Linked DNA regions of Oryctolagus cuniculus. The protein of the gene in region 1 interacts with the protein of each later gene in a pairwise test. Links are inferred from orthologs where the notes say so. Each region holds a gene or a part of one and is shown in the gene's direction. Other genes may lie near its edges. The genes, in order: NUP62, CCDC121, KANSL1, BFSP1, CCHCR1, C7H1orf216 and KRT20.

Region 1 (3,500 bases):
GCCCCCACAGGCGGGTTCACCTTTGGTACCGCAAAGACAGCAACCAGCACCACGCCGGCGACGGGGTTCTCTTTCTCTACGTCTAGCTCTGGCGGGTTTAATTTTGGGACTCCCTCCCCTGCGGCCGCGAGCACCCCTTCCACCGGGCTGTTCTCTCTCACGACCCAAGCGCCAGCAGCCCAGACCCCGGCGTTCAGTTTTGGCACCACGACTCCCGCTTCCGGAGGCACCGGCTTCTCCCTAGGTCTCAACGCCCCGAAGCTGAACTTGGGCAGCACGGCGGCCACCTCAGCCACAGCAAACCCCAGTGGCTTTGGGCTCGGCAGCAGCACCCTCACCAGTGCCACGTCGGGCACCGTCACCTCCAGCCAGGGCACAGCTCCCACCGGCTTTGTGTTCGGCTCTACCACCACGCCTGCGGCCCCCGCCACCACATCCGGAGGGTTCTCCTTCACCGGGGGAAGCTCCTCGCAGACGGGGACGTCTGGCTTCAACATCGGCTCCGTGGGGAGTTCGGCCACCCAGCCCACGGCGCTGACCGGGTCTCCCTTCACCGCAGCCACGCCAGCGGCCACGGGGGCAGGGCCCAGCCAGCCGGCCGCGCCCACGCCCGCCGCCACCTCCAACGCTGGGCCCACCCTCTTTGCCTCCATAGCCGCGGCTCCCACCTCATCCACCGGCACGGGGCTCTCCCTCGGTGCCCCAGCGACCACCGCCGCGGCGCCCGCGCCTGGGACGCTGGGCTTCACCTTGAAGGCCCCTGGAGCAGCTGCCGGCACCTCCACGGTGACGTCCGCTGCTGCCACCACCACCACCACCACCACCACCAGCTTCGCCTTGAATCTAAAACCTCTGGCGCCGGCCGGGGTCCCCAGCAACACGACGGCCGCCGCGAGTGCTCCAGCGGCCCCCAGCGCAGCCACCGGGGCGGCCGGCAGCCCCGCGATGACCTACGCGCAGCTGGAGAGCCTCATCAACAAGTGGAGCCTGGAGCTGGAGGACCAGGAGCGGCACTTCCTGCAGCAGGCCACCCAGGTGAACGCCTGGGACCGCACGCTCGTCGAGAACGGCGAGCGCATCACCAGCCTGCACCGCCAGGTGGAGAAGGTGAAGCTGGACCAGAAGCGGCTGGACCAGGAGCTCGACTTCATCCTGTCGCAGCAGAAGGAGCTGGAGGACCTGCTGAGCCCGCTGGAGGGCTGGGTGAAGGAGCAGAGCGGGGCCGTGTGCCTGCAGCACGCCGACGAGGAGCGCGAGAAGACCTACAAGCTGGCCGAGAACATCGACGCGCAGCTCAAGCGCATGGCCCAGGACCTCAAGGACATCATCGAGCACCTGAACACGTCCGGGGGCCCCGCCGACACCAGCGACCCCCTGCAGCAGATCTGCAAGATCCTCAACGCGCACATGGACTCGCTGCAGTGGATCGACCAGAACTCGGCGCTGCTGCAGCGGAAGGTGGAGGAGGTGACCAAGGTGTGCGAGGGGCGGCGCAAGGAGCAGGAGCGCAGCTTCCGCATCACCTTCGACTGACGGCCGGGCCGGGGCCGCGGCGCTCCCTGGTGGCCGGGGGGGCCGATTCTCTGAAGCGATTGTGCTGTGGAGAGAAGTGTTCTGTGGTTTGACTTTGCCCGCCAGCGAATGCGTAGAAAGTGTCCCGAGCGCCGCTGGGCGGGCGGGCAGCAGCCGGTGGGCGGCTCTGTGTCTGAGTCCTGTGTCTTTGGCCCCTTTCACCCACTGCCACCCACCTCGCCCTCCCCCGACAGAGGCGCTGAGGCCGGAGAGGAGAGGCTGCCGCCGGCCGCTCTGCCCAGCACAGTGGAAGTGCTGAGGTGGGCAGGCTGCCCTCTGCCCCGTGTGGGGTTTAAGCCGTGCGCTCCGCCCAGACACACTGCTCCCCGCAAGGAGGGGCTGCTCAGCTGAGGCGAGGCCCAAGCCCGGGGGGCTTCCCTGTGCCCGCTCCCCGTCCAGGTGGGCCCTCGGGCCTCCCCTCTTCCAGGGCGCCGCCCCGGCCGGCCCCATGGCACACTGAGCCTGTGCCAGGGAGGACTGGCTGTGCGTCTTGTGCCGACTGTTGGCCCCCGTCTCACTGGTAGACTGAGCTCCCGGGGGCAGGGACTGACTCTGTCCCCCTTTGTCCCCAGCACAGTCCCAGTCAGCTTTGCTGAATGAGCAAAGGACGAAGATGAAACCTGGCGTAGCGCTGGTCCACCGTGTTGCCTGCTGCGGTGGCCGCGGTGGCCACGCAGGGGCCCTGAGCCCCGCCAAGGTCCCCGTGTCGCCGCCCAGTGTCCTGTGTGTGTGCTTTGCATTCTCTACGATAGCCACGCTGTGTGTCGCCTTCCTGAATAAAAACATGAACAGCTGCCGTGCCTGTGTAACGTCAGGGTGAGGCGGTCGAGAGCGAGCAGCTCCCAGAAGCCACCGTGCTGGCGCCCTCCGGCCGACAGGCGCGAACAGTCTTGGGTCTGTGCTGACCTGTGGGTGACGCGGGCGCTGGCACCGCACTGCCTGCCCTCGCCCCGGTGGAGCAGCCTCCGTTCCTCCGCTGGGGCTAGCTGGAGGGCTCGGGCGGAGAGGCGACTCCCAGGTGCGGCCCGGCCAGCTGCTGGGAGCTCTCCCTCCTCCTGGGGACGGGGGTCCCGGCCCCTTGGCCTCACCCGCTCCATGGCTCACACCTCGGAGCCCTGTGGCCCATTTTCTAGAAGCTTCCCAAGGTCAAGATCACAAGTCATTGTTTACGTTGAACCATCTGGGGCCTTGAAGGCCAACACAACTTTGCAGGCAGCAGCCACAGAACAGGGAGGAGGAAGACCCCGCCAGCCTCCGTGAGCGCTGCTGCCCTCTCCCGGCCTTGACCACGGGGAGGGCCCGCGCTCCTGCCCTAGAAAAGTGGTCTGTTTCCTGCCTGCGTTTTTTCATTCGACATCCGTGGAGCAATGTTACTGAGCCCGCGAGCTCAGATTGTCCCTGTCAAAGGCCACACAATCTTCCTAGGGGGAAAAAAATGGGCATTTAAAAAATATATGCATTTGAAAGAGTGACAGAGGGAGAGGTTCCCCCCCCCACCTGGGTGGCAGGGACCCCAACACTTGGGCCACCATCTGCTGCCACCCCAGCTGCCTTCCCACTGAGCAGAGAGCAGTGCCATGGGTACCGGATGCCGGCGGCACGGGCAGCGGCTGGCACCTGTGCCACGACGCCATCCCAAGCGTGCTTCCCTGGTGTGCGTGTGTATATACTCCCGTTTCACATATTAAACATGAGTAAAACTCAGTTGCTTTCCTTTATTTTATTTTTAAAGATTTTATTTATTTTATTTGAGAAATAGAGCCACAGACAGTGAGAGGGACAGAGAGAAAGGTCTTCCCTCCACCAGTTCACTCCAAATGGCCAGAACTGCGCCGATCCAAAGCCAGGAGCCAGGTGCTCTCTGCCGGTCTCCTACACAGGTGCAGGGCCCAAGGCCTGCTCTCCCAGGCCACAGCAGAGAGCTGGAT
Region 2 (4,183 bases), on another chromosome or scaffold:
ACCAGCCCCATGATCTCTGCCTCTTAATATGTGGTCTTTTATTGTATTTGGGGTATAAAAAGCTTGGGGGTGGGGGACACAGGCACTGTGGGGCAGCAGGTAAGGGACTGTGCTACATATGGAAGTACCCCCCATATGGAAGGGCCTGGGATCAAGTCCCACCTCTACCTCCAATCCAGTTTCCTGCTAATGAGCAACCTAAAAGGTAGCAGATGATGGCTCAAGCACTTAGGTCCCCGCCACCACATGGGAGGCCAGCATGGAGTTCCTGGCTCCTAGCTTTAGCCTGGGCGTTAGATAAAGGCCAGTGTTTAAAAAGGAGAATGTTTTATAAAGAAGCCTGTTTAGGGACTGAAGAACATCCAAGAGAGATAAAAGTACGAAGTTCAGAAAATAAAAAAAGTCCCTGAAGACTGGCAGGCTGGAGGCGTTCCCCTCTCTGCGTTAGGGCACAGTGTACTCACCAATGTTGGCAGGAAAGGGGACTTCGTGCACAGCCGGGTCCAGATTGATCACATAGGGCGGGGAACCTTGGCTGTGCAAGTGCCCAGTGAGCCGCTGCAGACAGGAAGATGGGAGGGGGAGGGAGAGGAGGAGGGGGTGATCAGGAAGGGCATTTCCACTCCTTCACCCACCGCCCTCCAGCCACCCGAAATATCCACCCTGCTTCCAACATCAAATCTCGGCTCAAACGCTACTTTTCCTTATCACTCACCTGACAGAGCCTCCCCTACTCTTGCCCACTTATTAACTTGTATTGCAAACCCATATGGCGAGTATCTTTCTATCTCCTCCATGAAAGTAAAAACCTTGTCAACCGCATTTTCTCCGTATCCCCCATGCCTGGAACATGAGAGGGGCCCCAGAAATAACTTTTTTCGCAAATCTTCACCGAAACCCAATGGGTTAACACCGAATCTATCTACTCCATGCCTTGTGAGTCTGCCTTCGAGAGGCTGGCAACTTCCCCAGCAAACAGTTCCAACACAACGTGGTAAGTCGAACCAAGTGTGCACAGAAGAGGGCTTCAATGAACACAGGCGCGGGTCCGCTATGCCTCAGCCCACGAAGCAGCCGGAGTTCGGTGAAGTCCCTGAAAACCACGCGCCGGTGTCCTCCAACTCCCCACGGACTTCCGTCGCTTTCTCCCTGGCCTTCTGCCCGCCACCACCTCTCGCGCTGCCCTACCCCGCCCGCGCAGTGTGCGTCACCTGGACAAAGGTGGTTTTCCCGGATCCCGCCATCCCCAACACCAAGAGGCACACGGGGGGCCGAGGACCCCCGGACGCCTGGGGCTCCGCCGCAGCCGCGAGCGCCGCCATCTTTGCTCAGGCCCCGCCCCTCACCACAGAGGCGCGGCGTGGCTAGAGAGGCCTCCGCGACGTTCTAGATTGGGCGGAGAATAGAGTCGAACGCCGCCGAGAGGCGCCGGCCAGCGGGTGCCGAGTTTCTGCTGCGGGCGGGCTAGTGACGCCGGGAGAGAAGTGAGGGGAGCAGAGAAGCGAGAGGAGAGGGCTAGCGGAGCCGAAAAAGGAGCACTGCCCGTCGCTGGCTCCTCGGAGCGGGAGACGAGATGGGCTCCCAAGGGCCGAACCCCCACCACACGAAAAAGAGGGGCGTACGTCTCATTTTGGGGTCCCAAAGAGCTAGGACCGAAGACGCTGGTCTGCCGCCTGCTAGAGCTTGTTTGGCACCCGAGGAGATTAAACAGCTCAGGGCTGGGCTGACCGGGGCGGGGGCTAAATGGGACGCTTGGGGGTGCTGGGCAGCGCGGAGACCCGTCGAGCCGCAGACTGAGCAGCTGCAAGACCTTTCCGCCTTCACGACCCCCGACGTCAGCGCGCGCTCCTCGGCGACCACCCTCCGAGAACTGCGCAGCTACCGCTGTCAACAGCTGGATTCCAGGAGCAAGTGAGTGCGGCCACGGAAAGAGGATGAAGGAGCCCGAGAAGTATCCCCGCTCCCCATCACCGTCCCGCGTCCGACGATCTGGGTTTCATACCCAGGCGCTGCCACTGGTCAGCCGTCTGGTTTCTTGTTCTTTAAAACGGACACTACGCCGCGGGGTTGCAGGGAATGCCTATTGCAAATTGTCGGCGGTACCCCCAGCATCTTCAACCCTGGTTGTATTTCCCGTGGCTTGCAGAGTGTTTGGAACGTAGTAGGTCTCCAAAATACTTGTTGAGCTGCCACTTGGGACACCAGCATTCCGTATCTGAATGCCTGGGATCAAGTTCCAACTCCACGTCCAGTCTAGCTTCCTGCAATGCGCCTGGGAGGCAGCAGTTGGTGGCCCAGATACTTGGGTCCCTGCCACCCACGTGGGAGATGCGGATGGAGCCCCAGCTGTGGCAGGTATTTGGGAAGTGAACCAGCAGATGGGAAATCTGCCTTTCAAATAAGTAAATAGTCGCTGTATTAATTAAGGACAATTGTGCATCTTTTATGATTGCTTAAATTTGCATTAAGAACTGACAGAGGCACGTCTCATGGGCTCTCCCTTCAGGTTTGCCGAAGGTCCCAGGAGTTCCCCTCCGTCGTACCTCAGTCTAATAAATAATCTGCTCCAGCCCCAGAAGCTAACAAGTGCGGAGATGCGCATCAGAAGAAGAATGGCGAAGGTGCGAGAGCTGGACACGCAGATTAAAGCAGCCCGAGCCCAGCAGCAGCTGTTACTGGAGGACACCAGGCAGCTGCACGAGGAGGAGCTACACTTCCAGGCGGAAAACAGGTTCTTTCTGGAGTACCTGACCAAGAAAACGGAAGAGCTGGCGAAGGAGCCCGTGAAGCTGTGGACGGAGTACATACAGGAAAGTCGAGAGATTAAAAGGGGGAGACAGAAGTTAGCCGCCAGATATGCCAAGAAGTCTGCAGTGCTTAAAGCAGAGCTCATGCAGAAGAAAAAGATACAAGCCGATTTGAAGCAGCAGCTGCAGGATCTGAGAGACATTTCGCTGTTAAAGGAGAAACAGGACATACAAATCCAGAAATTACAGGAGGAGAAAAACAAGATCGAAGCGCAGATCGCCGCCGAGAAACACGCCCAGTTCCTCAAGGAAAAGGCCCTGCTGGAGGAGCAGCTGAATGAGCCAGACGTGAGGCACTTGGGAAAGCAAGAAAGGAGGGCGCTCAGGGAGAAGACGCAGGCCCTGAGGTCGGCAGCAAAGCAGGCTGAGGTGAAGTTCTGCCACGGCATCCAGGCAGAGAACCAGCGGCTACGCAAGGAATGCTGGCAGCTAATGCGGCAATCCCAGAAATTAGAGGCTACTCAAAGCCAGTTAAGGAGCCAGAAGCAGCAGCTGGAGCAGGAACAGTGGCTTGTGCAGAGCATGCTCCGTGGGAGGCAACGGCTGCAAGAAAGACGCCATGGGTGCCCTAAAGGACAGGGTGTCCCCCAGGCACCACCGAGGCCTCCCCTGGGCGCCGCATCAACGATAAACCCCCCGTAGTTCCTCAAATACGTACCCAGCAAACCTGTTAGGAAAGGCTTTTGAATTCCAGATTGTAGTAAAATACCATACGTGTTGGTACAAAAGACTAGGTGCAGTCATGTAAGGTGACCGGCTTCCTTTAAGCAGTATTTTAAAAAACTACCTTATGTTGATAAACACAATTTTCAGACTTCCAGTTAACCTAATACCTGATAGCCCAACCTGTTTCACCATCTCCGAAACACCCCATACATCCAGCAAGTTCAGAAACACCCACTTGGGGTGTGTGATTTCATCTAGCCAAGTTAAGATTTCTTTATAGAGAAAATACCTTTAAGGACAGCATTTCACTGAATAGAGCTTTCTGCTGTATAAATAACACGGATCAGTTTACTTGTATTCCTTTTGGCCAAATCAGCAGACAAGGATGAAGTGTTTCTAAGTTCTTTTTTAAGTGTAGGCCAGTGGGTGGGTAGCTTCTTTTACAGATTCCTCGCCAGTTGAAAAAGTACTCTGATAACAGCAAGCCCACTAAGTGCTAGGTTGAATGACCTTTGAAATCTGATGATGAACCCCTACAAAAATTTCAGCTTTGAATACATTAAGGGGGTAAGAGGATTTGAATGGTGACATTTATTAAGTTGCCTCTTTTTTGTGAAATGTTCTTTGAAGAAACACTTTTAGCATTAAAGAAGTGATTGAATGCCTGTTTCAGGAAAACCTATCAAAAAAGTTTTAAAATATTTGGACTT
Region 3 (4,113 bases), on another chromosome or scaffold:
GAGTGTCCCTGTATTGATTCTCAAAACCTACGAGGCTCTTAAAGTTTTATTATTTTTATTTTTTAATTAATTTATTTTTATAGACTTTTAAAAAAAAGAGAGGTAGAGACACGGGGGTGGTGGGGAGAGGTATTCCATCTGTTGGTTTACTCTCCAGATGCGAAGGACTTGGGCCATCCTCTGCTGCTTTCTCAGGCCATGGCAGAGAGCTGGATTGGAAGTGGAGCAGCCAGGACTTGAACCAGTGACCACAGGGGACTTCAGGCCAGGGCTTTAACCTGCTGCACCACAGCACCAGCCCCAATTATTTCTGTTTTCCCAGAAACGCTTCTTCCCTTAACTTTCATGTGTCATCAATATTTTGTTTCTCTTATTTCACCTTCGTTCTCACCCTCCTGACTTTAACTGTGGTGTCTTTTTACATGTGTGGGGGAGACTCTGGGCATTATCATGTGGTGAGCAGAGAGCTCTAAATCTTTTCTAAGCCAGATTGCCCATGCTCTCTCAAAGTTTGTAACTTTAGTTGTCTCTGGGACACCTTCACTCACTTAACCCCTGGTATTTGGAATGGAACATATTGAAACCCAAGGTTCCTCCCCAAATCTGTACGCTGTCCCCATTTCCAGGTTTTGCAACCTCAACCTCAGATTATCTAAAAATTTAAATCAATTAAAAATTTTTTTTTCAGAATTAGGATGTTCATGAATGATTTTAAAAGTAGCAAAGGATACAAAGGCCATACAGTGAGCTGGAAGCCTTTCTCCCACCTGCTCACTGGAGCTGCCCTCCGGGAAGTAACCACCGTGGCCAGCCTGGAGTGATTTTTGATCCCTTCTTCCATCGGTTTTATCTGAAGTCCTCCCCTGTTTGTAAAAGATGTGTCCCTCTCCAGGCCCTTGGAGCCGTATACGTGACTGGCTTTACATATAAACATTTATATGTGCGAATTCGAGATTCATATATAAAATCTCTCCCTATGGCCTTCCGGCCTCGAGTTTTCATCACGTCGCTTCCTGGATGAAGAACCCAGAGGGGTGAGGGGCAGGGGCTGGGGGTGATGGAGAGGAGAACCTCAAGGGGACTCAGGGGGTTCAGAGTGGCCTACTGGTGAGAAGCACCGCTGGGATTCCCGATTCCCAGTCCTCCCACCTCAGGGCCCCTTTCCAGAGCTCCTGTCCAAAAGCCTCTCGTTTCCAAGGGCCCTGACAGAGACAGAGACAGCGAGATAACACAGAGACAGAGACGCCGAAGCACCAGCATCCCTCTCCCCTCTCTGTCCCGCCCCATCGCTCTGATGGACACCCTCTCTCGACCAATGGCGCCCACGAGGAGCCCCGGAAGGCCCAATGAGAGACAGAGGAGGGCGGAAGATTCCCCGCCCCCACTCTAGGCTTGGTTGAGCCGTGCAGGTAGGTCCGGGGCTGGGGGAGCTGCCGTTGGCACTGGTGCCCCGGGGGGTGGGGGGCACGAGTGGGTAGGGGTGATGGTGGGGGAGGGAAGGCGGCTACGACCCGGGGGCTTTGAGGGGGCGGCCCGGCCGGGAGGCGAAGGGTCGAGGGGCCCGCGGAACGGGCTCCGCCGAGGGCCCTGGAATCGGCTGGGCTGGGGGAGCGGGGACTCGTGTGTGGGGCACAGGGACCCCCACCCCGCGCCCACCGGTAGGCCTGGACCGCGGGCTGCTGGCCGAGCTGCCGGAGGGCCTGGCGGCCCGGGGGGTGGGCCGGGCCGGGGGCAGCGAGGGAGCCCAGGGCGCCAGGCCGAGCCGAGGTGGGACGGACCGACGCGGAGAGGAAGGGAAGCTGCATCCCGCGGGCCGCCCCCTCCCGGAGCGAGCCGGGGCCACGGCCGCGGGCGCCCCTGCCCGGAGCCCCCTCGCCCATCCGCCCCTCCCCAACAATGGGGGTCAGGCCGGAGGGGTCGCCCGGCTGCGGGAAGGTGCGGAGGGTAGGTTCGGGACTGGGGTCCGCGGTGGGGGAGGGGTGAGAACTCGGGCTCTCCCCTTTCTCCTCTCCCGCCGCCCGGGAGGGGGGTTCGCAGAGGGGTCCGGACCCCGCCCGAGACTTGGGTCCAGAGTCGAACTCCTCGCACCCCGCCCCCACCGGCACCCCCAGATCCGGTGAGCGGGGCGGAGAGTGATGCCAAGTCCTCGAAGCCGAAGTGCAGAGGCATAGCCGGAACAGACCCGCTCCGGAGGGTTTGCCTTTTTGTTTTTATTTTTGAAATGAGGATACTTTAGTCTTTGATTTTTCCTTATTTTTTTTTTTTAAGAGGTGAGTGCTGTTATTTTTGTCCCTACTCGGGCAAGCCTCCATTTTAAGCGAAGCAGTAACTGGTTAAGCTGGAATTTCATTCAGGCCTAGGACTTGAACTGTAGGATCCTACAAGAGGTCATTTAGTCCATCCTCCTGTCTCCAGGCAGATTTGCCACCTCTCATCCTAGAATGAAGTTGTAAGGGTTTCCTTTAAAGATCTCCTGGGAAGAAGTGCCTTATTTGTTTGTAGTACTTTGGTCAATAGATTTTATTTATTATGTAGAATCAGCTCTGAAACTTAATTTAAGCTCAGAATTTTAGGTCAGAATCATCAAGAGGAGTTTTAATTTACTATATAAAATTAAATATGGTAAGGATCCTTTTTTAGGTGGTTAACAAATCACCTTTCCATAATGTGTATGAAGTACTCTTAAAATTTTTTTCCCCTTTCTTGGATTTTGGTTTTCTGATTCTTTGAGAAGCAATTATATATTTTCTAAAATGTCATACCTTTGTCTTTTCAGGTAAAGTATGTTTACATGCAAGTATCTGCCCTTTTCCAAAGAGTACTGTGTTTTGGGATGAATGAAACAAACAAAAAAAATATATGTGTGTGTGTATATATATATATATATATATATATAAAAGTAGCTTAAACTACTTGCATATTCCGTATTATTTTTTAGTCTAACTGAGAGCTCTCTCCTTTAGGTAACTTCTCAAAACAGGAAGTTTTTCTGCCTGCTCCTACCTGGTGACTGAGGGGATCACTGACTCCCTGTTTGCTCATTTCTGAATCTTGTCTGAACTCTTCTGACACTATGAATGCGATTCGGGTGCCTCTTAAGGTAAGATGTGTGTTTCTCTCATCAGCCTCATTTCGTTAGTGTTGTGAAGAGTGGAGAATATCCTGGTTTTTGAAGTTGCTGTTCTTCAGTCCCTTTACCTGTCACTGCTCCCTTTGAAGATTGCTTTGCAGGAGTGATTGGTTACTCCTTACCTTGCGTTGCTACTGTTTGTAATTACTGGTGTTAAAGTATTAATGAAGGTCTCGGATTATCTCCCATTATAATGATGTGTTCATCTTTTTAACTTCAAATTGTGACAACTTATGTAGTTGTAAAATTCTGCTCTAGTCCTAGTGGGATGGGTTCCACCTTCAGGTCCACTTTCAAATAGGTGCTTTAAAGTCATGGGTGCTAGGGTGTGTCCTGCTCTTGCAAATCAGTAGCTGATTCATGTGTTACAAAAGATGTGTCATTAACTGTTTACTCTGAAACTTCATATGGAGTATTAGAACATTCTAAGAGCTACTGGCTTGGGTGTGCAGCTCTTTGGAGAGTCCTCCTGCTTCTCCTACTCTTTTGCGTGAGATTTTACTTTGTTTCTCAACAGGTGGCACTTGGGCCAAGTTTCATCTCACAGGATAAACCTTATTTGGGCAGAGTGGACAGATGTCCTTTAAATGAAGAAGCTCTCATTGATGTGTTGGTTCTCTCTCTCTCTCTTTTTTTTTTTTTTTTAAGATTTATTTATTTATTTGAAGGTCAGAGTTACACAGAGAGAGGAGAGGCAGAGAGAGAGAGAGGTCTTCCATCTGCTGGTTCACTCCCCAGATGACTGCAACGGCCGGAGCTGCACCTATCCGAAGCCAGGAGCCAGGAGCCAGGAGCTTTTTCCGGGTCTCCCACATGGGTGCAGGGGCCCAAGGACCTGGGCTATCTTGTACTGCTTTTCCAGACCATAGCAGAGAGCTGGATCGGAAGAGGAGCAGCTGGGACTAGAACCGGCGCCCATATGGGATGCCGGCATTTCAGGCATAGCACCGGCCCCCGATGTGTTGGTTCTCTTGTGGCTTCTT
Region 4 (3,500 bases), on another chromosome or scaffold:
CTTTTGGAATGCTGGCACTGCAGGCAGTGGATTTACCTGCTATTCCACAGCGCCAGCCCCTTCTGACCGCTTTTGAGGCAGGGCTGTGGTAAGGATGATCCCAGAGGGTGTGGATATTAATGCAAGGATGTGGGGTTCAGGTTCTGCATTCTGCTTGGGCTTAAGGATTGCAATGTAATTCACTGCTCATCTCTAACCGGCAGAGGCATAAAGCAAGTGCAAGTTCATGCCCGGGTATAGGGCGGGGTGGGATGGGTTTCCTCACCGTGTGTCTCGGCCCCTAGACGTCGACCCTGGAACAAGCTATCAAAAGTGCCCACGAGTGTTACGACGACGAGATCCAGCTGTACAATGAGCAGATTGAAACCCTGCGCAAGGAGATCGAGGAGACGGAGCGGACCCTGGAGAAGTCGACCTATGACTGCCGGCAGCTGGCGGTCGCACAGCAGACCCTGAAGAACGAGCTGGACCGGTACCATCGGATCATCGAGATGGAAGGCAACAGGTGTGGCCACACAGCTGTGATGAGAGCGTGCACCCCGCTCCCCACCCACAAATCTTTGCTGAGTGCCTACTAAGTGCCAGGCGCTCCCTGACCTCAGGGAGCTCGGATGCTGGGGGCCAGGGAGACAGCGAATGAGTGAGCTCTCTGTGAGCTGTGACAGGTGCCTGGGAGGAAAGGATGGCAGGAAGGAGGGGAGTGGTGGGGATGCTGGGAGTCCGAGTACGGTAGGCAGAGGGCCTTACTGGGAGGGCTGCTTCGTGTCCCCGGGGCTCTGGGCTCCTGAGCGTCCTGGTGGGGAGGTGGGTGACCAGGAGCATTTGCTGAGAGGGCTGCTTCGTGTCCCCGGGGCTCTGGGCTCCTGAGCATCCTGGTGGGGAGGTGGGTGACCAGGAGCATTCTTGAGAACCTGCAGGTGCAGCGCCTCCCATGGAGCCTGGCGTTTGGTGAGTGCTCGGATGCTTGAGGGTTATAGCTGCCGCCATCATGATGAGTGTCACCTGCTTGGTCAGAAGTGTGGCTGTGCCTGTGCCGTCTGGTCTCCTCCCTGATCGAGCTGTGACTGGAACCCCACTCACTGCAACACAGCTGGGACATCTATCTCCATCTCCCTCAGCTCTCTCTCAATCTGTCTGTATCTCTCTCTCTCTCTCTGTCTCCACATCTGCATCAACAGCATCTCTGTTGTCTACACTTACAGCCTCTACGTCTGTATCAACTGTAGCATCTCCATTTGCCCCTATGGCTAAGTGGGTTTTCCTATCTATGGGTACGCAGTGGAGAACAGGTTGGGTATGAAATCAGGATTCTTTTGTTCAGTCTTGCTGGTTTTCTGGGGTCAGACTGAGTTAAAATAGAAGCCCCTCCCCCCCAAAGTGCCCCACAAAGAGAAACTTTTGTTCACTTTGGGGCTACAAAGGCTTGGGCGTGTATCGGGAAAGGCAGTGTTTTCCTTTCCTTTGTCTAGTTATGGGCAGTGCGTCTCGCACGATTCCACGTTGCATTCATGACACAGGGAACGCTTGGTAGGCACCTCTATGAGAATACGTCCTGACCTGGCTCTGAAATAACCGTATGAAAAATTTTGCTTTGGAAGCAGGGCATTGGAAAAAGGTAGCTGGACGCCCCTACCCTTTAAATAATTTTTTTCTTCTTTTTCAAGATTTATTTACGTACTCGAAAGGCAGAGTTCAAACAGAGAGAGGGAGAGACAGAGAGAGGTTTTCCATCTGCTGGTTCACTCCCTAAATGGCCTCAATGGCCAGAGCTGCACCCATCTGAAGCCAGGAGCCAGGAGCTTCTTCCAGGTCTCCCATGCAGGTTCAGGGGCCCAAGGCCTTGGGCCATCTTCTACTGCTTTCCCAGGCCATAGCAGAGAGCTGGATTGGAAGTGGAGCAGCTGGGACTTGAACCGGCGCCCATATGAGATGCCAGCACTGCAGGCGGCAGCTTTACCTGCTACACCACAGTGCCAGCCCCTGGCCTCTCTTCTTTACACTCTCTCTGGTCTGTAAGTGTATATAGGATTGATTATCTGCTGAAAATTATGTGTGGGAGTAGGCGTTGGCCTAGGGCACCAGAATTACCTGGAGAGCTTGTTAGACCATTCCTGATCCCAACTCCGGGAATCCACTAATACTTTTCTAAAAAAGGAGATGAAGGAAAAGGGGGCGGAAATGGGGGAGAAGGGGGCAGTGTTTGGCCTGGCACTGACACTGGTTAAGATGCCTGCATCCCACGTTGGAGGGCCTGGGTTCAATTCCCACCTCCGGCTCCTGACTCCAGCTTCCTCCAGTGCACACCCTGGGAGGCAGTGGTGATGGCTCAAATACGCAGGTCCCTTTCACCCACCTGGGAGAACTGGATTGAGTTCCTGTGCTCCCAGCTTCAGCCTGGCCCGGCGCGGGCTGCTGTGGGAATTTGGAGCTGAATCAGCAGATGGGAGCTTTGTTTGTCTCTCTGCCTCTCAAATGATAAAAAGATTTTAAAAAGTTGTGTGTAATTCTTGAGCCATTGCATCTGGAGAAAGCTGTGTCCATTTTCACTCAGTGTTGGAGTGTCTGTGTTTGACTCGATGAATTAAGACGGTGCCACACTCTCTGTGTTTCGTACCAGGCTGAGCTCTGCCTTCATTGAAACTCCTATCACCCAGTTCGCAGCGAGCCAGGGACCCCCTCTCAGCCTGGGATCCAGCGGGAAAGGTAATGATACCCATGCTCCCCCCTCCACACCTTCCCTCCACTCCCCTTCTTCTCTCATCCTCTTCCTCCTCTTCATTCTTCTTCCTTGTGTGCAAAAACCAAGTGGTTTTCTTCCTGACCTTGACATTCACACTGCCTTCCAATTCATCTGGAAACTCCATGTTCCTACCTGAGGGAGGTCTCCTCTTCCCCTCCGGGGCATCCTCAGTATTATCCCCTTGGATGCAAACTGGCTGAGCCACAAAGTGTTTTAAGGAGAAAATGAGCTGGGTATTCACGAATGTGAGGCATTAACTTGGGGGAAAGATACAATTCAGGGTTCACTTCTTGTTTCTTCCAAACTATTGAGTTATAGGAAGGGTACTTCAAAATGTTTATGGCAAAATGGAAATAAAAGATAAGTTTATTTTGGTGCAAAAAATTTTGCAATCTATGCATGGTTTTTTCTTTTTTCTTTAAGATTTATTTATTTACTTGAAAGTCAGAGTTACACACACAGAGAGAAGGAGAGGCAGAGAGAGAGAGGGAGAGAGAGAGAGGGAGAGACAGAGGGAGAGAGGTCTTCCATCCGCTGGTCCACTCCCCAGTTGGCCACAACAGCTGGAGCTGTGCCGATCCAAAGCCAGGAGCCAGGAGCTTCCTCCAGGTCTCCCACGCGGGTGCAGGGGCCCATGGACTTGGGCCATCTTCTACTGCTATCCTAGGCCATAGCAGAGAACTGGATCGGAAGAGGAGCAGCCGGGACTAGAACCAGCGCCCATATGGGATGCCGGCACTGCAGGCAGCGGCCTCACCCA
Region 5 (4,135 bases), on another chromosome or scaffold:
CACCACCTGCTGCACTTCAGGAATCCATCGGCTCTTCCATTGCCTGAGCCGGGGCTCGATCTCACTTCTCAGTCTGGTGTGCAGACGTGAGCTGGGCTGTGTGCAGTTTCAACCTGGAGCGCTACTTGGGCAGTGCAAACCCGGAGGAGTGCAGGCAGCTGAGGCAGGCGATGCAAAACTGGCTGCGAAGCAGATGTGCAAGGGAAAAAAAAAAACAGGGAGGACAGGGTGCAAGGGGCAAACTGGAACGCGTCCTCCCGCCACTCAGTGGAGCTGGATCCTCGGGCCGCCAGACATCCCGGGAGCCTCCGACCTGCGCAAGGCAAAGGTCACGTTAGGCAGCTTCTGGGGAAATGCAAATCGGAGGCGTGTGTGGGTGCTGCTACACGAACGGGCTGCCCCGGTGCAATTTGAAGACAAGCTTCTTCCTGTCAGACCTGCTTATCCAAAACAACACCCCCCTCCCCGTTCGCCCGCGCCCTCGCTCTTTTTGGCCAATCCCTCATTCAGAACTAGCTTGAACCCCGGGGCGGGGGGAGTGAATTCACTGTCACCCCCCAACACACACACACATACACGCAAAGAGCAGTGCAAACAGGTCCCTAGGTACTCCCAACAAAGCGGATCTAAACCTCGCTTCCCGGCTTCCTTCGGGTGGGGTAAATCAGAAGAAGGAGCTCCTGGCGAACTCGCGAGCGCTCGCCCTCCCGGCCCCAGCTCCGTTTCGGACCTACCTGCGCGGCGCAGTCTTGGAGCGGGCTCCTCTCCAGGCGACGCCAGCCCGAGCGGCGGCCGCAGGTCCTCTCGGCCTCCTCAGCTGGGCTAAGCGCTCGCACTGCAGTTTGACAGCCAGGAAGCCGGGGCCGGGAGGGGCGCGGTCTCGGCGCGCGGGCAGCGCAGACCCCTCCTTCGGAATTCCCGGGTCCGAACTTCGCGCCCAGAGAGCCCGCCCCCAGGACCGCGCCTGATTGGCTAGTTCTGTGACCCTCTTCCGCTCCATTGGGCGGCGCGCTGGGCGGGTCCCGCGAGCTCCCGCCTTCCGCTTTTTCTGATTAGCTCAGAGGTTTTCCCGGGTCCCCGGAGTGGGGCGGAGCGGCCAAGGCGCGCAGTTGCTTAGACGCAGTAATTGGGCCCAGCTTTAGGCGCCACTGCGCCTGCGTGCACCTTTGCTCCTTTTCCTTCCTGGACAAAACGGAGTTTCAGAGCGGCCCGCCACGCCGCCCGCCTGGCGCAGGCGTAGTCAAGGGCGGAGGCCGGGCGGGGAGCGAGGTGTGGTGGGTGTGACCAAGGGGCGGAGGGGGCGTTCTCGCGCTGAGTAAGGGGCGTTCGGGAAGAGTCGGTTGGGGGCGGGAAGGGGCTGAGACGGGGTGCTGGGGGGTGCAGGGGGTCACAGGGGAAGAAGGGTACAGGGGCTGGGTAAAGGAGCGGATGAGGTGGTCAGGACGGCCTTAGAATTCAGGGTCCTGCAGGGTGTGCAGGGTGAAGGTTGAGGATATCAGGGCACGGAGGAGAGAGAGCAGAAATCAGACTAGGGTGCTGGGAGACGCGAGCAGGCTGCTTGTTAGCTGGGAGATGAGGGTGAGGGTGATGGACCAGAATAATTCCTTCAGGAAAAAAGCAGACTAGAATGCAGGAAGGGAATCCCAGGTGGGGGTGAATTCGGGTGGGAGTGTGTGAGAAAGATCTTGAAGGGCCCACTGTGCTCTAGGACCCTAGAGAGAGCAGGTCCGCAGGGATGGACGCCGAGGGCATGGGCAAGAGGGTAGTTGCAAGAAAGATCTGGCTCTTGTGCGGGGGCATCTAGGCCATCTGGACTCCCAGGCGGTCCTGGGGAGGTGTCCAGCCCTACATGTGGCCACATTCATCAGGGGCCAGGCCTTGGGCCAGCGCTCTGCTGGGAAAGGACCCGGGAGTCATGGCCTGGTGGTGTCTGGGTGGGCTTCCCCAAGGCCTTGCCGAGCCGTGGCGAGAACTCTGGAGGCTGGGCTCGGGGCCTCTGCACGGTGTGCCTCCTTCGTCCTCTCAGGCCAGGAGCAGCAGGGACAGTAGAAACCTCAGGAGAAGGGTAAAGACACTGCCTGAGTCCTAGCAGGATGATCAAAGCCCAAAAGCTCCCCCTTGGCTCGTCCACCTCCTTGAGTTTTCTCCGCCTCCCTCCTGGTTTCTGCCTGAGTTTTGTTTGTTTGTTTGTTTTGTTTTTGTTTTTTAAAGATTTATTTATTTGAAAGAGTACACAGAGGAGAAGCAGAGAGAGAGAGAGAGAGAGAGAGGTCTTCCATCCACTGGTCCACTCCCCAATTGGCCACAATGGCCGGAGCTGCGCCGATCCAAAGCCAGGAGTGAGGAGCTTCCTCCAGGTCTCCCAGGCGGGTGCAGGGACCCAATGACCTGGGCCATCTTCTGCTGCTTTCCCAGGCCATAGCAGAGAGCTGGATTGGAAGTGGAGTACCTAGGACTCGAACCTGTGCTCGTAAGGGATGCCGGCACTGCAGGTGGTGGCTTTACCCGTTAGGCCACAGCGCAGGCCCCCTGCCTGAGTTTTGCATTAGGACAAGCAGGCAGTGGGGTGGGGTCTCATACTTCTTCCACAAGAGTGGGAAGAGGAGCTGAGAGACAGGGGAGCTGGCTGTAATTTAGCATTGTGACTTTGTTATTGTAGGGGCTTTCTCTTTGGAAGGTGACCTGAAAATTGAACTGGAGTGTCCTTGTTTCTCCTCTTGTCCAGGGGAGCATAGAAGGCTGGAGGCAGCACCTAGCGTCTTCAAGTCACATGGAGATGTTTCAGCCCTCAGGTCAGTGGGGCGGCGCAGGCGAGGGGCTGGCGGTCGCCCCCGCTGCCTGGGAAGCTGACTGTGCTCTTGTGGTTCCGCAGGTGTCTCTGGCTTGATCCCCCCCTCCCACTTCCAAGCCCGGCCCCTTTCAACCGTGCCAAGGATGGCTCCCACCTGGGCTTCAGACATTCCCCTCGTCCAGCCCCAGGCCCGTCAGGATGTGTCACAGAGGCGGCTGGACACCCACAGACGCCAAGTGACCCTCTGGGAGCAGGACGTGTCCGGTGACGGGCAGGAGCCGGGGCGGAGAGGCAGGTAGGGGACTGTTGCCACCTTGTTCTCAGACTCGCTTTCTCGTGGCCTTTCTTCACTGAAACAGATTCCATGGCCTGTTACAAACCCTGACTCAGTAACTTGTTCATTTTTACATGAGCAATTATTGGTACCCACATTGCGTAAGTAATAAGACCTGGGGATGGGGCAGAGAAAAATGAAGAGAGATCTGACCTAAACTTTGTCTTTAAAAAATATGTTTATCTATGAGCAAGGCAGAGTTACAGAGAGAGAGGCAGAGACAGATCTTCCATCCACTGATTCACTCCCCTAATGTCTGCAGTACAGCTAGGGCTGGGCCAGGCCGAAGCCAGGAGCCCAAAACTAAATCTGGGTCTCTCACATGGGTGGCAGGGGCCCACGAACTCGGGCCATCTTCCACTGCCTCCCAGATGCATTAGCAGGGAGCTGGATTGAAAGTGGAGCAGCCAGGACTTGAACCAGAGCTCGGTGCTCGCAGCAATGGACATGGTGGCCAGCCTTCTCCCACCCCTAACTTAAACTTGACATTGCTTAGGAATTTAAACTCCTAGAGGAGACAGACTGACCACGCGTAGTTCAGAGCTCGAGGAAGAAGTACTAGAAATAGGCCTGGTGCCGTGGGGTGTGGGTTTATTCTGATGGAGCGGGTACAGAAAGCCTTTTCAGAGGGCAGGCGGTTGAGGGGCTGGCTCGGCCGTCTGTGAAGGTGTCGTCTGCAAATGTCCTTGTTGTCTCCTGTGTGTTTTCCACAGTTGTACCGGTTTCATTCTGCCACTTCTGTCTACCATGAGTGGGAGCACATCAAAGAGGAGTGGGTACGAGGAAGAGGGAGCAGAGACAGACCTGCTGTTTCTGTTTGACTGTCTGCTAGGGGTCTTGTGCACCTCTTAATTTCCCTAGGCTGCTCCAGAGCGCTACTCTCTATTTATTTGACAGGCAGCGTGACAGGGAGGGAGGAAGGGAGGGAGGGGCACCGAACACCTGCTGCTTCACCTCCATAGTGGCCACAGCACTCAGAGGTTGGCCAGGCAGAAGCCAGGAGCCAGGAG
Region 6 (4,054 bases), on another chromosome or scaffold:
ACTACAAGGAGGAAGGGAGTGACAGGGATCAGGGTCAGTGAGTGGAACTCTGACAAGCTACTCCAGCTTGGGACCGAGGACTTTCTTATCCAGTTACATCTGTGCACATGGGCAACTGCACAGGAACCCACTGTGCAGGCGCCACGGAGGGCGTCTGTGCCTAGCAGGAATTCTCTGCAACCTGAGCTCTGTCCCAGGGGACTCTTTCTATTTTTTTTTTAAAGATTTATTTATTTATTTGAAAGTTAGAGTTACACAGAGAGAGAAGGAGAGGCAGAGAGAGAGAGAGAGTGTGTGTGTGTCTTTCATTCCTGCTTCATTCCCCAAGTTGCTGCAATGGCCAGAGCTGCACAGATCTGAAGCCAGGAGCCAGGAGCTTCCTCCGGGTCTCCCACGTGGGTACAGGGGCCCAGGACTTGGGCTATCTTCTACTGCTTTCCCAGGTCATAGCAGAGAGCTAGATCAGAAGTGGAGCAGCGGAGACTCGAACCAACACCTATATGGGATGCCGGCATTGCAGGCGGTGGCTTTACCCAATACGCCACAGCATATTAAAAAAAAAAAAAAAAAAAAAAAAAAAAAGTAGCCTTCAGTCTGGCTTTGTGGCGCAGTGGGGTAAGCCCAGGCCTGCAATGCCAAGATCCATAGGAAGGCTGGCGGAGTCCCTGCTGCTCCACTTCAAATCAGGCTCCCTGCTAATGTACCTGGGAAAGCAGCAAAGGACGTCCCAAGGGCTTGGACCCCTGCCACTCAAGTGGCAGACCCAAATAGAGTTTCAGGCTCCTGGCTCCACCATTGTGGCCACGGCCATTTGGGGGCTGGATCTCTTCTCTCCCTCTCTGGAACTCTGCCTTTCAAATACATAAATAATTTTTTATATGGGGCGTGCACTTTTTAAATTTTTTTTTAATTTATTTGACAGAATGATAGTGAGAGACAGAAAGGTCTTCCTTCCGTTGGTTCACTCCCCAAATGGCCGCTGAGGCCCCTAAATAATTTTTTAAAGTAGCTTTCATTAATGATGAATCAGATGTGCACACAATTAATATAAAATTCCAGATTTTGATCAAAGGAACATAAGTGCTCTGAGATGATACAAAGCGGGGGACCAGTCTTGTCTCGGGGATCACAGAAGGTTTCTCAGATCTGAAATGTGGGGAAGCCTAGCCAGGAGACAACATTTCAGGCAGAGGCTGCGGTGCGTGCCACAGCCTCGAGGAAGGAGGGGCCCAGCGAGCGCCGTTAGGCGACAGCCAGACCTGGAAGGCCTGGCCTTGAGCAGCCGGCGCGGGGGAGGCGGCTGCGGCGCAGGGGCCCCGCGCAAGGCTCCCACGCAGAACCGAACCGGCCCACGTGGGCCGCCCCAACCCCGCCCCGCCGCGCAGACGCCGCCAGCAGCCGCAGTCCGGGCCCGGGCCGCGGGAAAGCCCGGGCGAGACACCCCCAGGCCGAGCGGGGCGCGCCGGAACCAGAGCCAGCTGCGCCGGAGCGGGCGCCTCCAGGCCGTGAGTCCGGGCCGAGGGGGAGGACTGGGGGCCCCGCCGCGGGGGCCGGGGGCTGGGGGCTGCAGCCCGCGCCCAGCGGCCCCTCCGCGGAGCTCTGCGGGGACGGCCTCTGCCCTATTCCCCGGGGGACGTCTCCGGCAGCGCCAGGAAGGAAGGGCGGCCGCCGCTGCTCCCGGCCCTGGCAAATTGCGGATTAACTGGGGGTGGGGCCGGGGTCTGATCCCCATTTTACTATCGCTGAGAACCCAGGATCCTCAGCGCCACCACCAGCCCATTCCAGCCTGCTTAGGAAAAAGACTCGGGGGAGGCTCCAGGCACCTAAGTGCACACTTTGGTGGGAGGCCTGGGGGTCCGCAGGTCACCGCGGGAATCGTTCCCACTGGATCCTTCCAGGCCTTCTGCCCTCTCCCAACTGTGGGAAGAGCCTGTGCCACCTTAGGGGTCCCCCTGGGGCCTGCTGCCCTTACCTTGTACCCCTTAGTGACCCTCCGGTTTCCCTGTCCTGGGAGTAAGTGTGTGGTCGTGGTCGGGAGAAACCTCTTCTCAGTTCAGACCGGGATTTTGGTGGAAGCCCTGCTAGGAAGAGGGATGCCCTTTGCACTCCCTCCTGGAACTCCGGATGGGGCAAACTAGGGCCAGGATGCAGGTGGTGGGGGAAGAGGGATGGCGCATCGGGCGTGGCACCTCAGTGCTTGCTCCAGGAGCGTGATGGGGGGAGCTGGAGGAAGGCATGAGGAACTGTGTTTACATTTATTAAGGGCGGGGCAGATGGAGGGGGGATTCTCAGGCAGGCCTCAGAGCATTTGCCGGGTGGAGAGGGAGGAGCTTAGAGGGGAAGGGAGAGGCAGGCACTGCAGGCCAGAGCCATAGTGGAGCGCAACAATAGTGGATCTTGAGCTCCTGGAGCAGTCGGATGTGATGGGAGGCAGGGTGCGGGTGCTCAGGGCCATTAGGCCATGTAGATCTTTAAGAGGAGTTCAGGAACAGTACTCACTCAATTTTTAAATTTGCATTTTAAAATTCATTTATTTATGGGGCTGGCATTGTGGCATAGCGGGTAAAGCCACCGCCTGCAGTGCCAGCATCCCATATGGGCGCTGGTTTGAGACCCGGCTGCTCCACTTCCAATCCAGCTCTCTGCTGTGGCCTGGGAAAGCAGTGGAAGATGGCCCAAGGCCTTGGGCCCCTGCACCCTCATGGGTGACCTGGAAGAAGCTCCTGGCTCCTGGCTTCAGATTGCCACAGCTCCGGCCATTGCAGCCATCTGGGGAGTGAACCAGCGGATGGAAGGTGTCTCTCTCTCTCTCTCTCTCTAACTCTGCCTTTCAAATAATTAAATAAATCTTTTTTAAAAAATTCATTTATTTATTTGAAAGGCAGTGACATGGCCGGCGCCGCGGCTCACTAGGCTAATCCTCTGCCTGCGGTGCCGGCACACCGGGTTCTAGTCCCGGTCGGGGCGCCGGATTCTGTCCCGGTTGCCCCTCTTCCAGGCCAGCTCTCTGCTGTGGCCAGGGAGTGCAGTGGAGGATGGCCCAGGTGCTTGGGCCCTGCACCCCATGGAAGACCAGGAGAAGCACCTGGCTCCTGCCATCAGATCAGTGCGGTGCGCCGGCCGTGGCGGCCATTGGAGGGTGAACCAACGGCAAAAGGAAGACCTTTCTCTCTGTCTCTCTCTCTCACTGTCCACTCTGCCTGTCCAAAAAAAAAAAAAAAAAAAAAAGTCAGTGACAGAGAGAAGAGAGAAATACCAATCTTCTGTCTACTAGTTCACTCTCCAAATGGCTGCAACAGCCAGGGCTGGGCCAAGCTGAAGCCTGGAGCCAGGAACTCCATCCTGGTCCCTATGTGAGTGGTAGGGGCCCAAGTACTTGGGCCATCTTCCACGGCCTTCCCAGATGCATTAACAGGAAACTGGATTGGAAGTAGAGCAGCTGGGACTTGAACCAGCTTTCTGATATGGGATGCCAGCATTGCCACAACAGCTTCACCTGCTGTGCAACCACGTTGAGCCCCCAAATTTACATGTTTAGCCACAGGAAGAGAGATTAGTGAAAAGGCTGTGGCACTAGTCCAGGTAAAAAATGGCCTGAGCCAAACGAAATTGAAGAGGAAGAATTGTCTGAATTTGGTGATTGATAAGAGATGAGGGACGGAAGGAAAATGCTTATTCCAGGATGCTTCCGGGCTCTGGCTGGGGTGGCTGAACAGGGAGCAGAGCCGTCTTGCTGAGGACACGAAGATGGGAGCTGGCTGGGACTGGGAGATTTCCAGGGGCCTGTGGGTGGCTGCAGGGCTGGGTAACAGTTGGATCTGGGCTGGAGACAGATTGGAGAGTTACCAGCATATGATGATTCCCAAAGCTGCAGCCCACAGCCGGGTCATCTGGGGAGAAGCGTGTAGAACGAAAAGGCAGCCTGCCTCGGAGCGCTGAAAAACACGCTGTGCAGGCTACTGCAAAGGAGCAGTGAGGGAGGTGGGGACCAGCAGGGGCAGTGCGAGCCCAGCCAAGGGGAGGGGATGACAAGGAGCTGCCAGGCGTGTGCCTG
Region 7 (4,046 bases), on another chromosome or scaffold:
TTTTTCATTTTTTGTACTCATTTGCTTGTTTGCTTACTTTAATCATACACAGCCCTCAATTCAACTGAAGTTATGGATATAAGAATTAACGAGATATTTTCTGTGACTTTTCCAATCCTTTCTAATTAACTTGACTTAGGAAGCCATTTAAATGCTTCAAGGGAGGGGTGGATTTTCAGCCAGGGATTTGCATAAAGGGGAGCAAATGAATAAGCTGCAACAAGTGTTGAGTGAGCACCTGCAGCCAGCTCCCCACAGGTGAGACTGAAGCCCTGTGTTTGGAGGTGGGCACACATGCAGCCACCCCAGCCCAACCCTGGAAGCTGGGTGTAGCCCCAAGGCACCTCCCACACCGCTTCCTCTACACGGAACCGCTGGTGCTGTGAGTGTGGGGGCCTGCAAGGAAGATCAGGTTTCTCCGGAAGCTTCTGCTACTGAAATCTGCAGGGGATTCTAGAAGCACCTCTGGGTTCAGGATGGATGGAGCAGAGTCTGTCCAGACAGGGCACACAGCACCTCCAGCTGCCAGGCCAAGTGCACAGCCTGTGCTCTCTATGCTTCTCAGAAACAGGACAAAAGTCAGATGCTGGCTGAAAATTTCCAACATATTATCTAGTCGCCAAAATTAGAACTTAAAAAAAAAATCTCCAAAGCCTCCAAAATCATGTAGTCTACCACTCATCAAAGTTCCTTTAATTCACTTCCCTAAACCAGTCTCCAAGTGTCTGTTTCACTCCTGTGGGTATGTTCAAGATACGGCGCTTTCACAGAATATGTTAATAGTATTATAAAATCTCTAAACAAGGATAAGCTAAAATCCAAAAGGCGTGAAATGGAGGTTCTGGTGGCTGATACACTCCGCCACACAACAAGCTACTGTCCTGTCCCCAGTGTGACTTACCGTGAGGGCCCTCATCTGCCTGCTCAGATAGCTAAGTTCTGCCTGAGGACTGTAAAGATTCTTGATGTGTGCCCTGGGAGGAGGAGAGCCTGCCAAGGCAGGTGCGAGGGCTACAAGAACACACCTTCCTGCTGCCTTCTGTCAGCTCTGTTTGAAAAAGGCAATCATCCCTGAGAAACGCTTCTATGAAATGCTCCTAGTGATAAGCTCTGGAGTGGAATTAAACATACTGCTGTTTAAAGGGGGCGGGGGGGGGACGCCATACAAGGCAAGGTGGACTGTCAGTCCTGGGGTGACAAGTCAGCAGAGGAGGAGTCTGCTGTAAAGTGCATAAAAGGTCAGCTCAGCACCTGCCGGGAGACAGACTCTGCTCCAGCCTTCCTGAAGCCTCCGGTGCCCTCCTGGTCTCCCCAATGGATTCCAGTCGCAGAAGCTTCCACAGAAGCCTGAGCTCCTCCTCACAGGGCCCTGCACTCATCATGAGCAGCTCCATATACAGGAAGGGGGGCCTGCAGCCCCTTGTGGCTGCACCCAGTGTTTATGGGGGGGCTGGAGGCCACGGCACCCGGATCTCAACCTCCAGACAGTTGGCGAGCTATGGGAATGATCTCAGTGGTGGCAGGGATCTGTTTGCTGGCAATGAGAAAATGACCATGCAGAACCTAAACGACCGTCTAGCCAGCTACCTGGACAAAGTACGGTCCCTGGAGCAGTCCAACTCCAAACTCGAGGCACTGATCAAGCAGTGGTACGAAGCCAATGCACCCAGCGGCAGTCGTGACTTCAGTGCATACTACAAGCAAATGGAAGAGCTGCAGAACCAGGTGAGGTGCGGGGCCTGGAGAGCACTGTGGCAGGTGGAAGCAAGCAGACCCTGTAGAGCAGGTGCGGCTGGAACGCTGCCTCTGTAGAACAACCCTGAGTGCTGGGGCACCTACCTGCCCGAGTCGCTCTAAACCATACTGCTTTTAAATGTTTTAATCTAATTACATATAACACAGGAGCATTTTTCTTCCAGTCTTATATTGTCTATCTTTGTCACACTTTATTGTATCAGCTACAGGGATAGTAAACTTTTTTCCTGAAAAGAGCTATTTATATGTGATAATAAATTATTGTTCAGTTTCTCACCTCATCCCCATCAAGGTTTGAAACCCCAGTCAACTCAGAGACTTTTCTTCTTTCACTGATGTAATATAGGTATTAAAATACCAGAGTGCTCAGGGTAGGGACAGGGGGAAGGTGTACTTCTGAATAGTCCTTGGGTTTTTAAAATTCTCTGTTTAATCATCTGACCATCATCACCAAGCAGTTCAGAAAGTACTTCTGCATTAATAATCTATGGCCCCCAATTGGAATTTATTGCAATCATATCACAGCTGGCTCCCACATCACCCAAGAGGAAGCTGTGCATTTTATCAAGCGCATGAAATAAAAGCAGAAGACTTTGCTCCCTGCTGAAGATTTCCTATATGACACGGAGCACTTCCTTTACTTTCATTCTCTTATTTAATCAAGAAAATTCCCCTTTCATTTTCATTTCTATTTTAAGATTCATAACCCTTTAGAGCAAAGTTAGCCCCCAGCGAGTCTCCTGCTCTTGGGCTGTAGTGGCCATCAGTGTGATGAGTCAGACCCCACAGGAAGGCATTGTGGGATTCCAGGAACGAGGGGCACACAGAGTCGCAGGGCTTACAGTGCTTTCCTTCTCAGGCTCTCACCACAAACCAGTCAATCTCCCGTACCTATCTCTGACTCACGCTTCTGAGTCTACCCCGGGTCACCTCAGAGGCACAGGCACAGCTATCGGTTCCACACAGTGGGCAGACCCAGCATGGGAAGGCCCTTTGCAGGACCGCAGTCACAGAAAGAGGCCCGTAGCTGGAACCTCTTCTGATTCACTTGCGTCTGACAGAAGTCACTTCATTAAACACTTCTAAAGATGCAGGACTGGCGTTTGGCCCAGTGGTTAGAATGTCCATATCCCATACTGGAGTACCTGGACTTGACTTTGACCCTGGCTTCTGACTCCACCTTCCTCCTAATGCAGAGACCTTGGCAGGCACCAGATGATAGTTCAAGTAATTGGGTTCCTTCCACCTTCATGGGTCACCCGGATGGAGTTCTTGGCTCCCAGCCTCAGCCATCACAGGCATATGGGGAGTGAACCAGTGTATGGGATTCTCTCTCTCTCTCTCTCTCTCTCTCTGTGTGTGTGTGTGTGTGTGTGTGTGTGTGTGTCTGTCTCTCTGTCTCTCTCTGCATCCCTCCCTGCATCCCTCCTTCTCAAATAAGTAAATTGTAAAGTTTTTAGTCCAGGGCTTACCTGCCCTGATATCCCCAGTGCCTCATCATATAACAAACATTCATTCCTTCATTGAGCCAAAACTTAGTCAACACTAACCTGGTGCTAGGGAACTTGTGGTGAACAAAATGTGACTTAGGAGGAAACAGGCATGGACGAAGCAACTACACAGAGGATTAAGCACTGGCAAGAAGGGCTGTGTAGGGCAACAAGGGCACAAGCAGATGCCTCCACACCACACTGACTAAGCTGAGACAAGGAGGGGAAGCAGGGATTCTCCAGGTGATGGGGGCTAACGGGGGCGTTCTACGCAGGAACCACACCAAAGGCAAAGCCCTCGGTCAGATCTGATGACACAACAAGAATGAAGATCTCCCTTTGTAAGATCACAGGAAAGCAGACCCTACCCTGGGGACTGCAGTAGTATTTTGATTCAGGTACACTAAGTACCCACGTTATCATTCTTCCTGTCAATATTTTCACATGAAATTCTTGACCTGAACATCATTTTTACTAAACTTGTGACAGTAGTTGTATCTGAGGATAAATCCCATCATTTTTAACTCCTATCCAGTTGGAAACATCCTTCTTTCTCGTGTGTTTTCCAGATTAAGGATGCTCAGTCACAAAATTCCCAGCGTGTCCTGCAAATTGACAATGCTAAGCTGGCTGCTGAGGACTTCAGACTCAAGTAGGTTCCTGAATGCCATGGTGGAACTTTCCAGAAAAGAGTCCCTCTCAGTGGTGCTTCATGACACTCGGCTCCCCATATTATCCTTGCTGAATTTCCTTATTACGCTTCCAGAATCTTACCGCTTTGATGGTGTGGGAAGTACTCAG

What was found.
Region 2: the proteins of NUP62 (region 1) and CCDC121 interact in binary tests that used the Homo sapiens proteins (3 or more experiments, as listed by UniProt). The two-hybrid records come from large-scale screens. The link is inferred for Oryctolagus cuniculus from reciprocal best matches to the Homo sapiens genes NUP62 and CCDC121.
Region 3: the proteins of NUP62 (region 1) and KANSL1 interact in binary tests that used the Homo sapiens proteins (3 or more experiments, as listed by UniProt). The two-hybrid records come from large-scale screens. The link is inferred for Oryctolagus cuniculus from reciprocal best matches to the Homo sapiens genes NUP62 and KANSL1.
Region 4: the proteins of NUP62 (region 1) and BFSP1 interact in binary tests that used the Homo sapiens proteins (3 or more experiments, as listed by UniProt). The two-hybrid records come from large-scale screens. The link is inferred for Oryctolagus cuniculus from reciprocal best matches to the Homo sapiens genes NUP62 and BFSP1.
Region 5: the proteins of NUP62 (region 1) and CCHCR1 interact in binary tests that used the Homo sapiens proteins (3 or more experiments, as listed by UniProt). The link is inferred for Oryctolagus cuniculus from reciprocal best matches to the Homo sapiens genes NUP62 and CCHCR1.
Region 6: the proteins of NUP62 (region 1) and C7H1orf216 interact in binary tests that used the Homo sapiens proteins (3 or more experiments, as listed by UniProt). The two-hybrid records come from large-scale screens. The link is inferred for Oryctolagus cuniculus from reciprocal best matches to the Homo sapiens genes NUP62 and C1orf216.
Region 7: the proteins of NUP62 (region 1) and KRT20 interact in binary tests that used the Homo sapiens proteins (3 or more experiments, as listed by UniProt). The two-hybrid records come from large-scale screens. The link is inferred for Oryctolagus cuniculus from reciprocal best matches to the Homo sapiens genes NUP62 and KRT20.

The regions. Positions count from the first base shown.
Region 1 is NC_091449.1:7,675,536-7,679,035, forward strand, and holds the end of NUP62 (nuclear pore glycoprotein p62), read left to right. Parts: coding exon 1-1,533; 3' UTR 1,534-3,276; downstream 3,277-3,500. UniProt on the Homo sapiens protein: Essential component of the nuclear pore complex. The N-terminal is probably involved in nucleocytoplasmic transport.
Region 2 is NC_091433.1:175,378,989-175,383,171, forward strand, and holds the start of CCDC121 (coiled-coil domain-containing protein 121), read left to right. Parts: upstream 1-1,383; 5' UTR 1,384-1,573; coding exon 1,574-1,911; intron 1,912-2,506; coding exon 2,507-3,449; 3' UTR 3,450-4,183. Other genes in the region: GPN1 (GPN-loop GTPase 1), read right to left, coding at 465-558, 1,212-1,322.
Region 3 is NC_091448.1:17,042,002-17,046,114, forward strand, and holds the start of KANSL1 (KAT8 regulatory NSL complex subunit 1), read left to right. Parts: upstream 1-1,313; 5' UTR 1,314-1,409; intron 1,410-2,963; 5' UTR 2,964-3,100; intron 3,101-4,113. UniProt on the Homo sapiens protein: Non-catalytic component of the NSL histone acetyltransferase complex, a multiprotein complex that mediates histone H4 acetylation at 'Lys-5'- and 'Lys-8' (H4K5ac and H4K8ac) at transcription start sites and promotes transcription initiation.
Region 4 is NC_091442.1:42,516,199-42,519,698, reverse strand, and holds part of BFSP1 (filensin), read left to right. Parts: intron 1-284; coding exon 285-505; intron 506-2,617; coding exon 2,618-2,703; intron 2,704-3,500. UniProt on the Homo sapiens protein: Required for the correct formation of lens intermediate filaments as part of a complex composed of BFSP1, BFSP2 and CRYAA. Involved in altering the calcium regulation of MIP water permeability.
Region 5 is NC_091436.1:139,335,688-139,339,822, forward strand, and holds the start of CCHCR1 (coiled-coil alpha-helical rod protein 1), read left to right. Parts: upstream 1-1,335; 5' UTR 1,336-1,849; coding exon 1,850-2,065; intron 2,066-2,725; coding exon 2,726-2,792; intron 2,793-2,872; coding exon 2,873-3,086; intron 3,087-4,135. UniProt on the Homo sapiens protein: May be a regulator of keratinocyte proliferation or differentiation.
Region 6 is NC_091438.1:136,913,034-136,917,087, forward strand, and holds the start of C7H1orf216 (UPF0500 protein C1orf216 homolog), read left to right. Parts: upstream 1-1,254; 5' UTR 1,255-1,505; intron 1,506-4,054.
Region 7 is NC_091448.1:21,693,988-21,698,033, forward strand, and holds the start of KRT20 (keratin, type I cytoskeletal 20), read left to right. Parts: upstream 1-1,246; 5' UTR 1,247-1,314; coding exon 1,315-1,725; exon of another isoform or gene 1,726-3,814; coding exon 3,815-3,897; exon of another isoform or gene 3,898-4,046. UniProt on the Homo sapiens protein: Plays a significant role in maintaining keratin filament organization in intestinal epithelia. When phosphorylated, plays a role in the secretion of mucin in the small intestine.